Tamandua tetradactyla: one gene and its partners. The protein of the gene in region 3 interacts with the protein of the main gene of each other region in a biochemical or structural test. Links are inferred from orthologs where the notes say so. Each region holds a gene or a part of one and is shown on either strand. Other genes may lie near its edges. The genes, in order: MAPK8IP3, ELK1 and MAPK8.

Region 1 (3,747 bases), on a different chromosome or scaffold from region 3:
CTTTACAGGGAAGGTCAGTGTGGGCCAGAGTGGGGAAGAAACTCCCCTGGGCTCTGAGACCCAAGGGCAGGGCTGACACTCAGCGTCCGCGCTACCAGGTGTGGACCACATGGTCTCCGGTTACCACAAGTCCCACTGAACTAGCCACTTGGTAGCAGAACATACTCGCAATTTCTAACTGCAGTTATTACAGGCAAAAAGAAATAGGGACAGGCATGTCTGCCCTGCTGAAGGCTTTCTCTCTCTCTTTTTATGAAAATCTGCAGATTTTGTCTGCTCAGAGGCTGCAGGCAGCTCAGGTTACTTCCTCTGACTAAGCCTTCTTGAGCAGAGTGGTTGGGGACAGGCTCCGGCTAGGGCTCATATGGGAGGAGTCTGCAACGCCAACATCTTGGAGCTTGCAATACTCTAGCCCTTGTTATCAGACACATAAATACGTCATCACAATTCTCTGTCTGGAGAAAGAAGCTGGTCCGCAGTGCCATGGTGGTCTTTTCCCACAGAACTAAAACGCATGTCCGGTTGATTTAACAGTGACTTAGAATGCCAAGCATTTCTGTAGCTGTAACATCACTTGAGGTCTTCCCAAGGACATACTACCAGCATCTAACCCAAACCTTGAGGCTGCTAGCCAAGTATGTGTTTTCTTCACGGCTCTCTGCTCATGCAGCTCTCTGGGCAGCTTCTCTGAATAGCTGCCCTAGTGCTGGTTCTCAGACCCCAACCACACACGCACACCCAACAGCTCTCAGTCCAGCAGTGAGGGTCAGTAGGAGGGCAAAGCACACTTGGTAGAGGTTGCATGTGAAGTGCACAGAGCAGAGAAAGCCTGATCTATGTACAGCTAATTTTAAAGCAAAGCTATGATTCTTAGCTACAAGACTGTCCCTTTTGACTTTTCTCCTTTTAGTTCCTTTTCACCCACTACTGAAGGAAGAAAAACCAATCTGAAACCTCCATTGTGCATCAAATGGGCACTAGAGCCGAGAGAGAGGTGGAGGGCAGTGCCCAGTGCCCAGGTATGGTACTCTGATCCCCAGAGCTTGAGACAGGAGGAAGTGTCAAGCTGGGAGTCAGGGCTCGCTCCAGGGCCCAGTCCTGCTCACCCGCAGTGTGTGACCTTGGTCGGGTCCCTCCACTCCTCGGGTGGCTCCTACCCCGGAAAATGCCCAGGCTGCTCTGAGCTCTGAAGTTCTCTGCGCTATCGCACGCCCTTACGTTGAGAGATTGAGCTCAGCTCTGGTGGCACCTGGGCACCCCCATCAACAGACAGCAGCAGCCTCTTGACAGATAACAGGAAATCCCAGAGCAAAATAAACCACACTAAATAGGAACAGTACAAGACACTGTTCCTTTCTATAAATAAACTTTAAGTCAAATGAGGGTGTAAACCGGGTTTAAGGAAAACTCAAAATACTGAAGCAACCTTTCATTTCAGTACTGAAGTCAGGAATGTGCTACATGAATGACAAGGGAATCTGAACTCATTTGACAGGACACCTCCTCTCCGTAAATCAAAGCGCTCCCCCTAACTCCTGCCACAGCAGCACCTCCAGGCGGGGGTCCATCCAGGGCAACTTGCTCATCTGACTGATGGAGCATCCCAGCCGGGAGCAGGCCCGCCAGCGGCCAAGGTCACAGAGGGGGTCTGCGGCCAGGCAGGGGTGGAATCCCATATCCCCCACCCCCCTTCACTCTGCTGTCCTCCACAAAGGGCAAAGCCGCAGGTCGGGCGAGTGACCACGCTCAAGTATTCGGTGGTGAAGGAACGAAGCTGCTGGTATTCCCTCGCACACAGCTGGCCCCAAACCGGCCGATTTCCAGGCAATGGAGGCGGCCTACAACACAACCCAACCTTTCAAAGCCTGCAGAGCCAGGGCGGAGCCCCTGGCCGCCCACAGCCAACTCTGTCGCCCCCGCAGGGAGCCAAGGGGCACCTCCCCACCCGAGTCTTTCACCCGATGCGGCTTTCGTGACGTGGTATGTCCACCACCTGGTCCACTCAAGCCGCAGACCCGCCAGATGCTGCGTGAGGAACAAAGGAAAAGGGCTCCCGACACCCGCGGCGCTCCTGGGCGGCGGAGGGGCCGGAGATGGTGACCCCGGGGTCTGGGGGTGAGAAGGGGAGGCGCGTGGGGCGGCGGGCGGCGCGTGGGGCGGCGGGCGGCGCGGGGCGGCGGGGGGGACGGGGCGGGCGGGGAGCGGGGCGGCGGGGGGGACGGGGCGGGCGGGGAGCGGGGCGGCGGGGGGGACGGGGCGGGCGGGGAGCGGGGCGGCGGGGGGGACGGGGGCGGCCGCGCGGGCCCACGCACCTCCTCGGCCTGCCTGCGCAGCGCCTTCTCGCGCTCGTACTGCGTGAGCAGCTGCTCGTTGTCCTCACGCAGCAGCTCCAGCTCCACCTCGTGCTCCTGGTTCTCGCTGAGCACCGAGTCCAGGTTCTCCAGCACGTTCACCACGAGCGGCATCAGCTCCTTGACCACCTCCTCGTCGTAGCAGTGGATAAGGCGCTCGAACTCGCGGTAGATGGAGCCCGCCAGGCCCGACACCCGCTCGGACATCACCGAGCCCGAGCAGTAGTCGTCCTGGTACACCACCACGCCGCCGCCCTCGTCCATCTGGATCTCCATCATCGCGGCCATCGCCGCCGCCAGCGCGGCCCGCCGTCCGGCCGCCGCGAGGGTCCGCAGGCCGCAGCAGGTCCTCGCCGCCGCCGCCGCTGTCGCCTCAGGCTCGGCCGCCGCGCCCGTCACTCACTGGCCGGAAGCCCCGCCCGCGCCGGAAGTCCCGCCCCCGCGCCGGAGCCCCGCCGCGCGGCGCCGCCAGGGGTCGCCCAGCGTGAGAGGAAGCGGGTGTCGCGAGTCTCGCGGGGGGCGGGGGCGGAAACTCGGCTGGGCTGGGCAGGATGTGTTTCCGGTGGAGCCGCCCGGGGACCCGCCCGGGCTTCGAGACCGGGGGCGTGTGGTGTTTCCCAAACGGTTCTGCTTGGACTTCAGCCCGCCCCCGTTTACAAACAGGAACGTCCCTGGAAGCCCCGCGGCGGCGCTTCTCTCCAGGGCGGCCGTGGCCCGGCGCCCGCGGTCCTCTGAGCACCGGTGCAGCGTGACCGCGGAGCTGCGCGTCCCCACGGCGCGGCCCACCGCTTCTTAAGAACACCTCTGCGTCCAACCAGATGCGAGTTCGTCCCACCCTAAAATCCTGTAGCTTAGTCTGTTTCTGCCCTGCTTTTTTGTGTAACTTATTCAGATCCTCGTTTTTCTGCTGTCTTATTTTACCTGTCCATTGCATTTTTCATTTCAGTGGTTACTTTTAAATTTTCTATTTGCCCCATTTGGTTTTCTTATGTTTTACCAGTTCTTATAGGCGCTTATTCCTTACAGTTTAAGCGCTTTTTTTTTGGTATCTGAGTTCCATTACCAAATTTTTCAGGTCTGATTCTGCATTCTGCTCAGGCTCCCTCCCCCAGCCCCCTCTAGCTAGTGTTCCATGGGACGTCATCTGTGAAATTGTGGCTGTTTTAAAATGAGCTGCTCTGCAGGGTTTGTCTTTTCTTTTGCAGGGCATCGGGGGCTCTTTGAACCCACAACTAACATTTTCAGCCTGGGATTTACGTAGGCCACATAGGTGCTGTGAATTCTGGTCAAAAACCAAATCAGTGCCTGCTTAAATGCTCCCCTTTCACCTTCTGAAATGCTTCAGAGCCAATGCGAACCCTCATCATATCCCAGTTACACCCAAACAAGGAATTCT
Region 2 (3,747 bases), on a different chromosome or scaffold from region 3:
TTCTTTTCTTTTTAATGTTTTTTAAAAATCGCAAATATAACATATTTACAAAGCAAAGAAAGAAAAAAGCAATAATTTTCAAAGCACTCTTCTACAAGTAGTTACAGAACAGATCCCAGAGTTTGTCATGGGCTACCATTCCATTATCTCAGATTTTTCCTTCTAGCTGCTCCACCTTAACATTTCAAACACCCCAATACTCAATGTCTACCTTCCTTTCTTCTCTTCATACTTCTCTAAAATACCATCTAATTTTATTTACAGTTTTATTTATATAGGCTGTCTCCCTCAATAAATGGCTGCTGCACAAGGGCAGAGATATCTGTCTGTTTTGTTCCCTCCCAAATTCTCAGCACCTAGAAGAGCATCTGGTACTCAGTAAATGTTTGTTGAATGAACAGATCCAGCTAACTAGCCTCTTAACTAGCTCTCATGTCCCCTCTTCATCTCCATCTGTCTCCCACCCTGATTTGTCTGAAATTATTTTTCCATTCATTCCCATAATAAATTCTTATTGAGCACCTACTACATGCCATGTACATTTTTAGGTGCTGGAGACACAGCAGTGAATAAGCAGACAAAAACTATAAACCCCATGGGACTCCCATTCTAATGGGGAGAGACAGACAGAAAGGATAGTGAACTGGTAAATTATGCAATGTGTCAAGAGTGTGACAAAAGGCAGAGACAAATACAGCAGGGAAGAGGCCTGAGTACTGCTGGGTGTGTGGGTCCAGGGATCTCTTTTAAACAAGATGGTGGGAGGACCTCATTGAGAGGCTGACATTTTAACAGAGCTGTAAAGACAACCATGCAGATATCTGGGGGTAGAGTGTTCTTGGAAGAAAGAAAAGTCAGTGCAAAGGCCCCAAGGCTTGGTGTATTGGAGAATCATGAGGAGGCCAGTGTGACTGGGGCAGAGTTAGTGAGGGGGTGGAGGTCTAGGAGGTGAGGTCAGAGAGGTAACTTATTTTATTGTTACTAACTCAGGTATTCTTTATAAATACTGGGCAGGGGTGGGGTGATGGGGTTCTCACCCTATTCTCCCCATCTTGGAAGAGAGAAAACAGGCACAGAGAGAAGACAGTTAATTTACTAATCTAAGGTCACAGTTGCTGTAGGACTGGGGATGGGTGGGTGCTGGGACAAGGTGTGGAATGGAGACATCTCTGCAGGCAGAGGGAATTGCAAGAATAAAAGCTTGGAGATAAGAACTAATTTGATTTTAACGGAGTGGGGCTTATGCGGGGTTTGATGAAGTGACAGAGGGGAGCCTCAAATATTATCCTGTGCCCTAAGGGGCAACCTAACCTGGTTCTTTCTGAGATTACCTTTGAGTAAGGTATCTAACCTCCCCATGCCTCAGTTTTCCATCCGTGAAATGGGGAAAATGATAATACCTATCTCATAGGGTTGTGGTGAGGATTAAATGAGTTCATTAATATAAAACACTGAAAAAGCATGCCTTACATACTAGGTGCTTGATAAATTTTAGCTCCTACTAGCATTATTATCATTATCACTAATGTATTCATTTATTTTAGTAAGGAAGAATGTCTTGGTGGTTAAGAGTGTGAGGGGGTGTGTTCCAGAGTAAAAAAGACCTAGGTTCAACAATCACACAGACTTATCCACTATTATTGAAGGGGGGGGGGGGCAGGGCATGGACTGAGGCACCACAAGGAAAGGAGGGGGAATATAAAAGCATTGGATTCATAGATGGGCAAGTGGGGGTAGGGACGTGAATGTAAGCACACAGGTAGCAGGAAGGCCATTGGACAGATCCACTACAAAGAGGGGATGGGGAGTAAGGCCATGAACTCACCTACTGGCAAATAGGGCAGCAGAAAAGCTCACTAACTGATACACTACAGTGGAGGGGAAGAAAAGCCATCACACAGACTGATAAAAGGAGATAAGCACAAGGCTATGGCCTGCGCTCCTGGAAGTGGGGAGATACAAAGCACTAGACTGATTCAGAATTAAAAGGATAGGAGAAACCCACGAATTGACAGTGTACAGAAAAGGGAGGAGAGACAGGGCAACGGACTGATGACTAGGGGGATGTAACTGATCCACTATAAAATGGGGTGGGTGGGGGGAGAGGGAGGACGGCAGATAAAGTCATGGACCGCTGCACTTGGGGACTGGAGGAGAAAGGAATATAAACTGACAGACTATTCAAGAGGGGTGAGGGTACAACGCCACGGATTAATTCACTACAAGGAAGAGGAGGGGTAGAACAAACAAGGCCACAGACGGGTCCCTTGAAAGTTGCGGACAGAAAAATACAAGCACCCAGACTCACCTATATATAAAAGGGGTCCGACAGTGCCACAGACTGATCCCTAATAAGTGGGGATGGGGGCTAGAACATGGACGGGTCCACTGTAAGTTGGGATGGGGAAAAATTCAAGCACGCAGGCTGATCCATTACAAAACGGGAGCGGGGGATAGACCACACTCAGATATACTACAAGGGGCGAAGGGAGGGGACAATGCCACGGGCAGTTCCACCAGCGGTGGCGGTACTGTGGGGAGTCGAATACCAGTAGGCGATGGGCCAAGCCACATCGCCCCACGCGGGGGCGGGAAGGATACAAGGGGTCACGGACGCGGGCCCCCACCCTCCAGGCCCAGGGCTCACCTGTGCAGAGCGGTGCAGCGGCGTGGGCAGTGTTGGCAGCTCCGGGGGGCGGGGGCTCCATGCGCGGCCCCACCGCCCCCCAGGCTCGGCTCTGAGGCGGCGGCGGCGGTTGCGGCGGCGGCGGCACCCACAAGCCGCCCTTGCGTTTCCCTACCGCTCACGTGGGCCCATGGGGGCGGAGACAAGCGTCCTGCCACTCGCTGGTTGGCCCAAGCAGCACAGATCAAACGTGCGATTTCGGGAGGTGGGAGTGAGGGGCGGGCCCCACAGCCTCAGAGCTGTGCCTTGATTGGCCCAAGCGGAACTGTTGGAACGCGGATGGCCGCCCGAGGGTCGGGGCGGGGGAGCGAACCCAGCCCCACAGATGCCCTGTGCTGATTGGCTCAAGGACTGATAGACAGTGGGCGGCTGACAAGGGTCTGGGGGCTTCTGCCTGCACGGATTGGCCTAAATAGGATTGATGGAAGAGATAGCCAGCCTCGGAGAAGAGGGTGGGCCCTACCCTTTGCTGATTGGCGGAAAAGTGTCTCCTAGACAGCTGCCAAAACATCAAGGGGGCAGTGCCGCACTCCACGCTGCTCAGCGGAAGCCGGACTTCTATAGAAGTGGGAGTAGCAGTGGACCTGGCGGCCAGCGTAACTCTGAGGACTGGCTAGAAAATACTAATTTAGATTGGAGCGGAAGTAGGAGGGCGGTACGGCTGCTAGACACGAGAAGCGCTGAGTGGAGGAAATCAAATGCCTACGAAGAGGGCAGGGTCGAGCCGCGGCCAGAATTACAAAGGGGAGGAACCTGGCTCTACTCTGATTGGCGGAAGCTGGACTCATCTTAGCTTAGAGGCCCGCGCAGGGCTGGGGAAGGGCGGGACCCAACTCTGCACCTATTGGCAGAAGCTTGAACCATTAAGAAGTAGGGGTGAGGCCGAGGTTGGGCCGAGAGGAACTAGGGCATAATTAGGGTATTTGCGGAACGACTACGGCGCAGGGCAGGGGTAAGCCTTAGCGCCAGGAGTGAAAGGGTGACTGTGTTGGTACCAAATCTTCACCCTGAACTGGCTCATTCTCTGTGGAAACTCAAAGGGTGGTTTCCAGGAAAAGGAA
Region 3 (3,747 bases):
ATAGAGACATATGAGGACATAATCTTCCTACTGCACCAGGATGCTCCTTTCAAATTCCTCAATGCAAAATACCTATCTACAGAATCACTGCTGTCTCTTCCTCTAAAATAGGACTCAGAGAAGAGTGAAGAGGGAGTTTAGTTAATGGTTATGGGTTTTCTTCTTGGGGTAATGAAAATGCTCTGGAATTAGACAGTGAGGGTCTACACACATCTTTGTAAACATACTAAAAACCACTAAATTGCACATGTAGAGTAAACTTTATGATACGTGAATTGCATCACAACAAAGCTATCTAAATATAACGTAGAATTTAGAACAAAACAAAAATCTTGGTTCTCATGTAACCTGACTGTGATGATTTTTATCAGTAACCCTTATCGCAAACGGACATATTTTATCTAGGTAAAATAATAAATATCTGGTATAACTTTTATCTTAATAGAGTATCATTTTCTAATTTATTCAATTCTATTCTACATCAAATAAAAAATAAGCCCACCTCAAATTCTTTCATATCCAAAACAAATCCTAAAATTTATCAAATAGTGGGAAAGAGATATAACTTGGATAAAATACTATTTTGATCTTAAGCCCACGTTTCATCAGTGTTAATATGAGAGTTTAAAAACATTTCTCATAAACCTCTCTAAAATTCTATTTGAAATTAAACATTTCTAATACATTTCTGCGACTTGTTTCTTTGTTCTAGCTTTTCCACTTAAAATAAAGGAGTCACCAAAAGCCTTTTCAAAAATATTAACAAAGGGATGCGTTGCAATCGTAGGTTATTACTAAAATATCACAGGCATATACACACACTAACCTTACAACTTACCTTACCTCATTAAAAAACATTTTAGAGAAAGTTTTAGGATAGTGAATGACCCAAAAGTGATAGTAAAAAACTGATACTGAGGTGATTCAAAAGACCCAACTGTCATGACAGATACAGAGGAACTGATCCTTTAGCCATCTGGAAATGACGGTTTGCATGACGCTTCCAGAACTTTATGGGGAACATCAAAACTGTTTTTAAGGCTTGCTTTTAATTTCATCAATTATAAGAAGCTTTTCATCAACCTGCCTTTTTGAGCACTTACTTTACAGGCTAGGTGCTGGAAACCCAAATGCAAGACAGGCCTACCCTCAAGGAAGTCCCATTTTGATTGCTTGCATTTGTGAGGTACTGCACTGAACTTGTTCATTACATCATGACTTTCTAGGCTTAAATGACAGCAGGAGATTCTGAGGTAATCACTACAAAAGAGGCTTTACAAGAGCAGAAAAAGTAAAATTTAGAAATACCTGTAGACCAAATGTAGCACTAGCTCCTAGAATATCATTACTTTCACAGTTCCAGACGAACTATTTCAAAAACACGAAAATAAACTACAGTAGGACTCCTTACCTTCTTTTACACACATCAGGTACGTAACACATGACTTACATAATTGTGTAATTTAAAGGTATTCATATTATATTTCTATCAAAGCACACTCTTCTATTAAAGGACATTTCTCTTTACCTTTCAGTCTCTCCACCTGTGTACAGAACAGCTGTTGAATGAATGAGTGAAATAAACAGATGTTCTAATTGCCAAGGAGGTACTTGCTGGATGCTTATTTTAAAACACAATGGACTGACACTACAATTCTACTCGAAAGATCACTGAGTTTGAGAGGTAAAAATAGTAAGCCCTGGACAATGTCTGATACGAGGCAGTCAACATGTCATTACATTTACAGTGAAGACCTAACAGGAGACTCTTGGAAATTAAAATGAAAAAGTGTTTCTCCTAGTACTTTAAAACGCACTTGGTTGTATGGATTGAGGACGTGAGTGCAGGACAAAGACACGGGAGGATGGGGTGAAAAAGTCAAAAGGTCACCACGGACTGACCCTCAAGAGGAAGATCCAGCCCAGCTCAATGAAGCCACCTCCCGCCCAAGCTACAGGCCCCGGGCTGGAGGCCACACTGGCCCTTTCCGACGAGGCTGTCCGCGCTCGCCTGCAAACGTGAGCACAAAGAAACCACCGAGGAACAGAGCACGGTCCCCGTGGGCCTCGGAACCCGGGAGGCAGCGGGGACGCCTCGGTTTCGACCTCCCCCCGGGCGTTCCTGAACTTGCCCCCGCCCCTCGGCAACCTCCCGACGTGGAAGCGGGACACGCGCGAGAGGGACGGCGGGCGGCGCAGCTCGGCTCGACCCACCGGGACCGGCTCCAGGTGGCCCGCAGCCCCGCGCGGCCCCCGCTTGCCGGGCAGCTATTGTTCCCGCGCCGGCCCACCCCCACCCCGCGCGCTCCCGCCCCCACTCCCGGGAGGGGGTCACTGCTGAGGCGAAGGCGGCGACGGCGGCGGCACAATAACATAAACACGGCGGGGCCGCCCCGTCGCCCGGGCCCTGCGGCGCGCGCGGCACTCACCCGGCAGCGGAGAGAACGAAGGGGAGGAAGTCAGCCGGCGGGCACCCTCGCGTCCAGACGCTGCCACGGCCGTTACCCAGCACTGCTCGCGGCTCCGCACCCCGGGCCGCGTCGTCCGGTCTCCGCCGCTCCGCTGAGTAACAGGGACGCGGGCCGTCACGGCGCACGCCCGTCTACGTCATCGCGCAGACTCCGCCTCCCGCGCCTACGGAGCGGCCCGCGGGGTGGACGCGGCCCCAAGGCCCGGATTGCGGAGGCGGGGCCGGCAGCAGGGGGCGGGGCTATGCCGGGAGGAAGGAGGCTATGCGGAGGTCGCCTGGGGGCGGAGCTGGGGGGGCCAGGGGCCCCGCGTGCCAAGCGGCTGAGGGGCGTGGCGGGCGCGGGAGGGGCGGGGTCTGTGCCGGGCACGTGGCGGCGCGTGGCTTGGGCCCCCGCCTGCGGGCAGTTCCTCCGCCCTGGACTAGGAGGTTAGGAGCCTTGGCCCGACCCGCCCCTCAGAGGTCACCTCCCGCCTGCTGCACATCTGAGAGGCAAAGAGCTCCTCACTTAGACACATCGCACGTTCCACTCCGAGGGCACCTACCCGGGACCTGCAACCCTCAAGCAAATAACTGTTTTCTTCAGGCTCCCGGAAAGAGCCTCCTCCTGTTTTCCCCAAATCCACTTCCTCCCAGAATCCGTACCTTACCTGTTTATCTCTGAGGCCCTAAAAAGCACGGTAAATATTTTGCAAATGGTCACTGGAAGTGCTAGACAAGCCCTTAAATATCCGACAATAGACAGTAGGTGGAAAGGTATTTAAGTACGTCCATGCAATGAAATGAATACATTTTAGCCATTTAAAACCCACGTGTGCAAGGAATTCTTACAGCTATGGGAAAATGTTCACAATGTAACATTAAGAGAAAGAAGATACAAGCGTGCGTGTGTGTGCATACATATACATAAAATGATCCCCCTTATGAACTATATGCATAGGAAAAAAAACTGGAAGAGAAATATTCAAAAATATTTTAGAAGCAGTTCATCATTGGATATGGAATGAAAGGTGGTTTGTTTCTCCTTTATACATTAGGTGTTTTCCATGGTTTCCAAGAAATAAATGAGCTACTTTACTACTGAATACGTAAATATTTGTTGAGTAAATGAGTGGATGCAGCTAGACTACTTTCCCATAACGTGTTGGGCTGAGCTGTGCCCAGTGATTCTGAAGGGAAACATGAGTGTAACCATTCCTTCCTTCCTTCATTCTCTCCTGGGGCTCTCCCTCCCTCTTAGCCTTCTTTACTCCCTTCTGTCCTTCATTTCTCCAATAAAT

Evidence for each region.
Region 1: the proteins of MAPK8 (region 3) and MAPK8IP3 form a complex in vitro, tested with the Homo sapiens proteins (3 studies listed by BioGRID, with this or other methods). The link is inferred for Tamandua tetradactyla from reciprocal best matches to the Homo sapiens genes MAPK8 and MAPK8IP3.
Region 2: of the proteins of MAPK8 (region 3) and ELK1, one has a biochemical effect on the other in vitro, tested with the Homo sapiens proteins (3 studies listed by BioGRID). The link is inferred for Tamandua tetradactyla from reciprocal best matches to the Homo sapiens genes MAPK8 and ELK1.

The regions. Positions count from the first base shown.
Region 1 is NC_135349.1:55,767,552-55,771,298, forward strand, and holds the start of MAPK8IP3 (C-Jun-amino-terminal kinase-interacting protein 3), read right to left. Parts: upstream 2,660-3,747; 5' UTR 2,640-2,659; coding exon 2,313-2,639; intron 1-2,312.
Region 2 is NC_135353.1:122,482,878-122,486,624, reverse strand, and holds the start of ELK1 (ETS domain-containing protein Elk-1), read right to left. Parts: upstream 2,861-3,747; 5' UTR 2,648-2,860; intron 1-2,647. UniProt on the Homo sapiens protein: Transcription factor that binds to purine-rich DNA sequences. Forms a ternary complex with SRF and the ETS and SRF motifs of the serum response element (SRE) on the promoter region of immediate early genes such as FOS and IER2.
Region 3 is NC_135339.1:7,465,109-7,468,855, forward strand, and holds the start of MAPK8 (mitogen-activated protein kinase 8), read right to left. Parts: upstream 2,594-3,747; 5' UTR 2,430-2,593; intron 1-2,429. UniProt on the Homo sapiens protein: Serine/threonine-protein kinase involved in various processes such as cell proliferation, differentiation, migration, transformation and programmed cell death.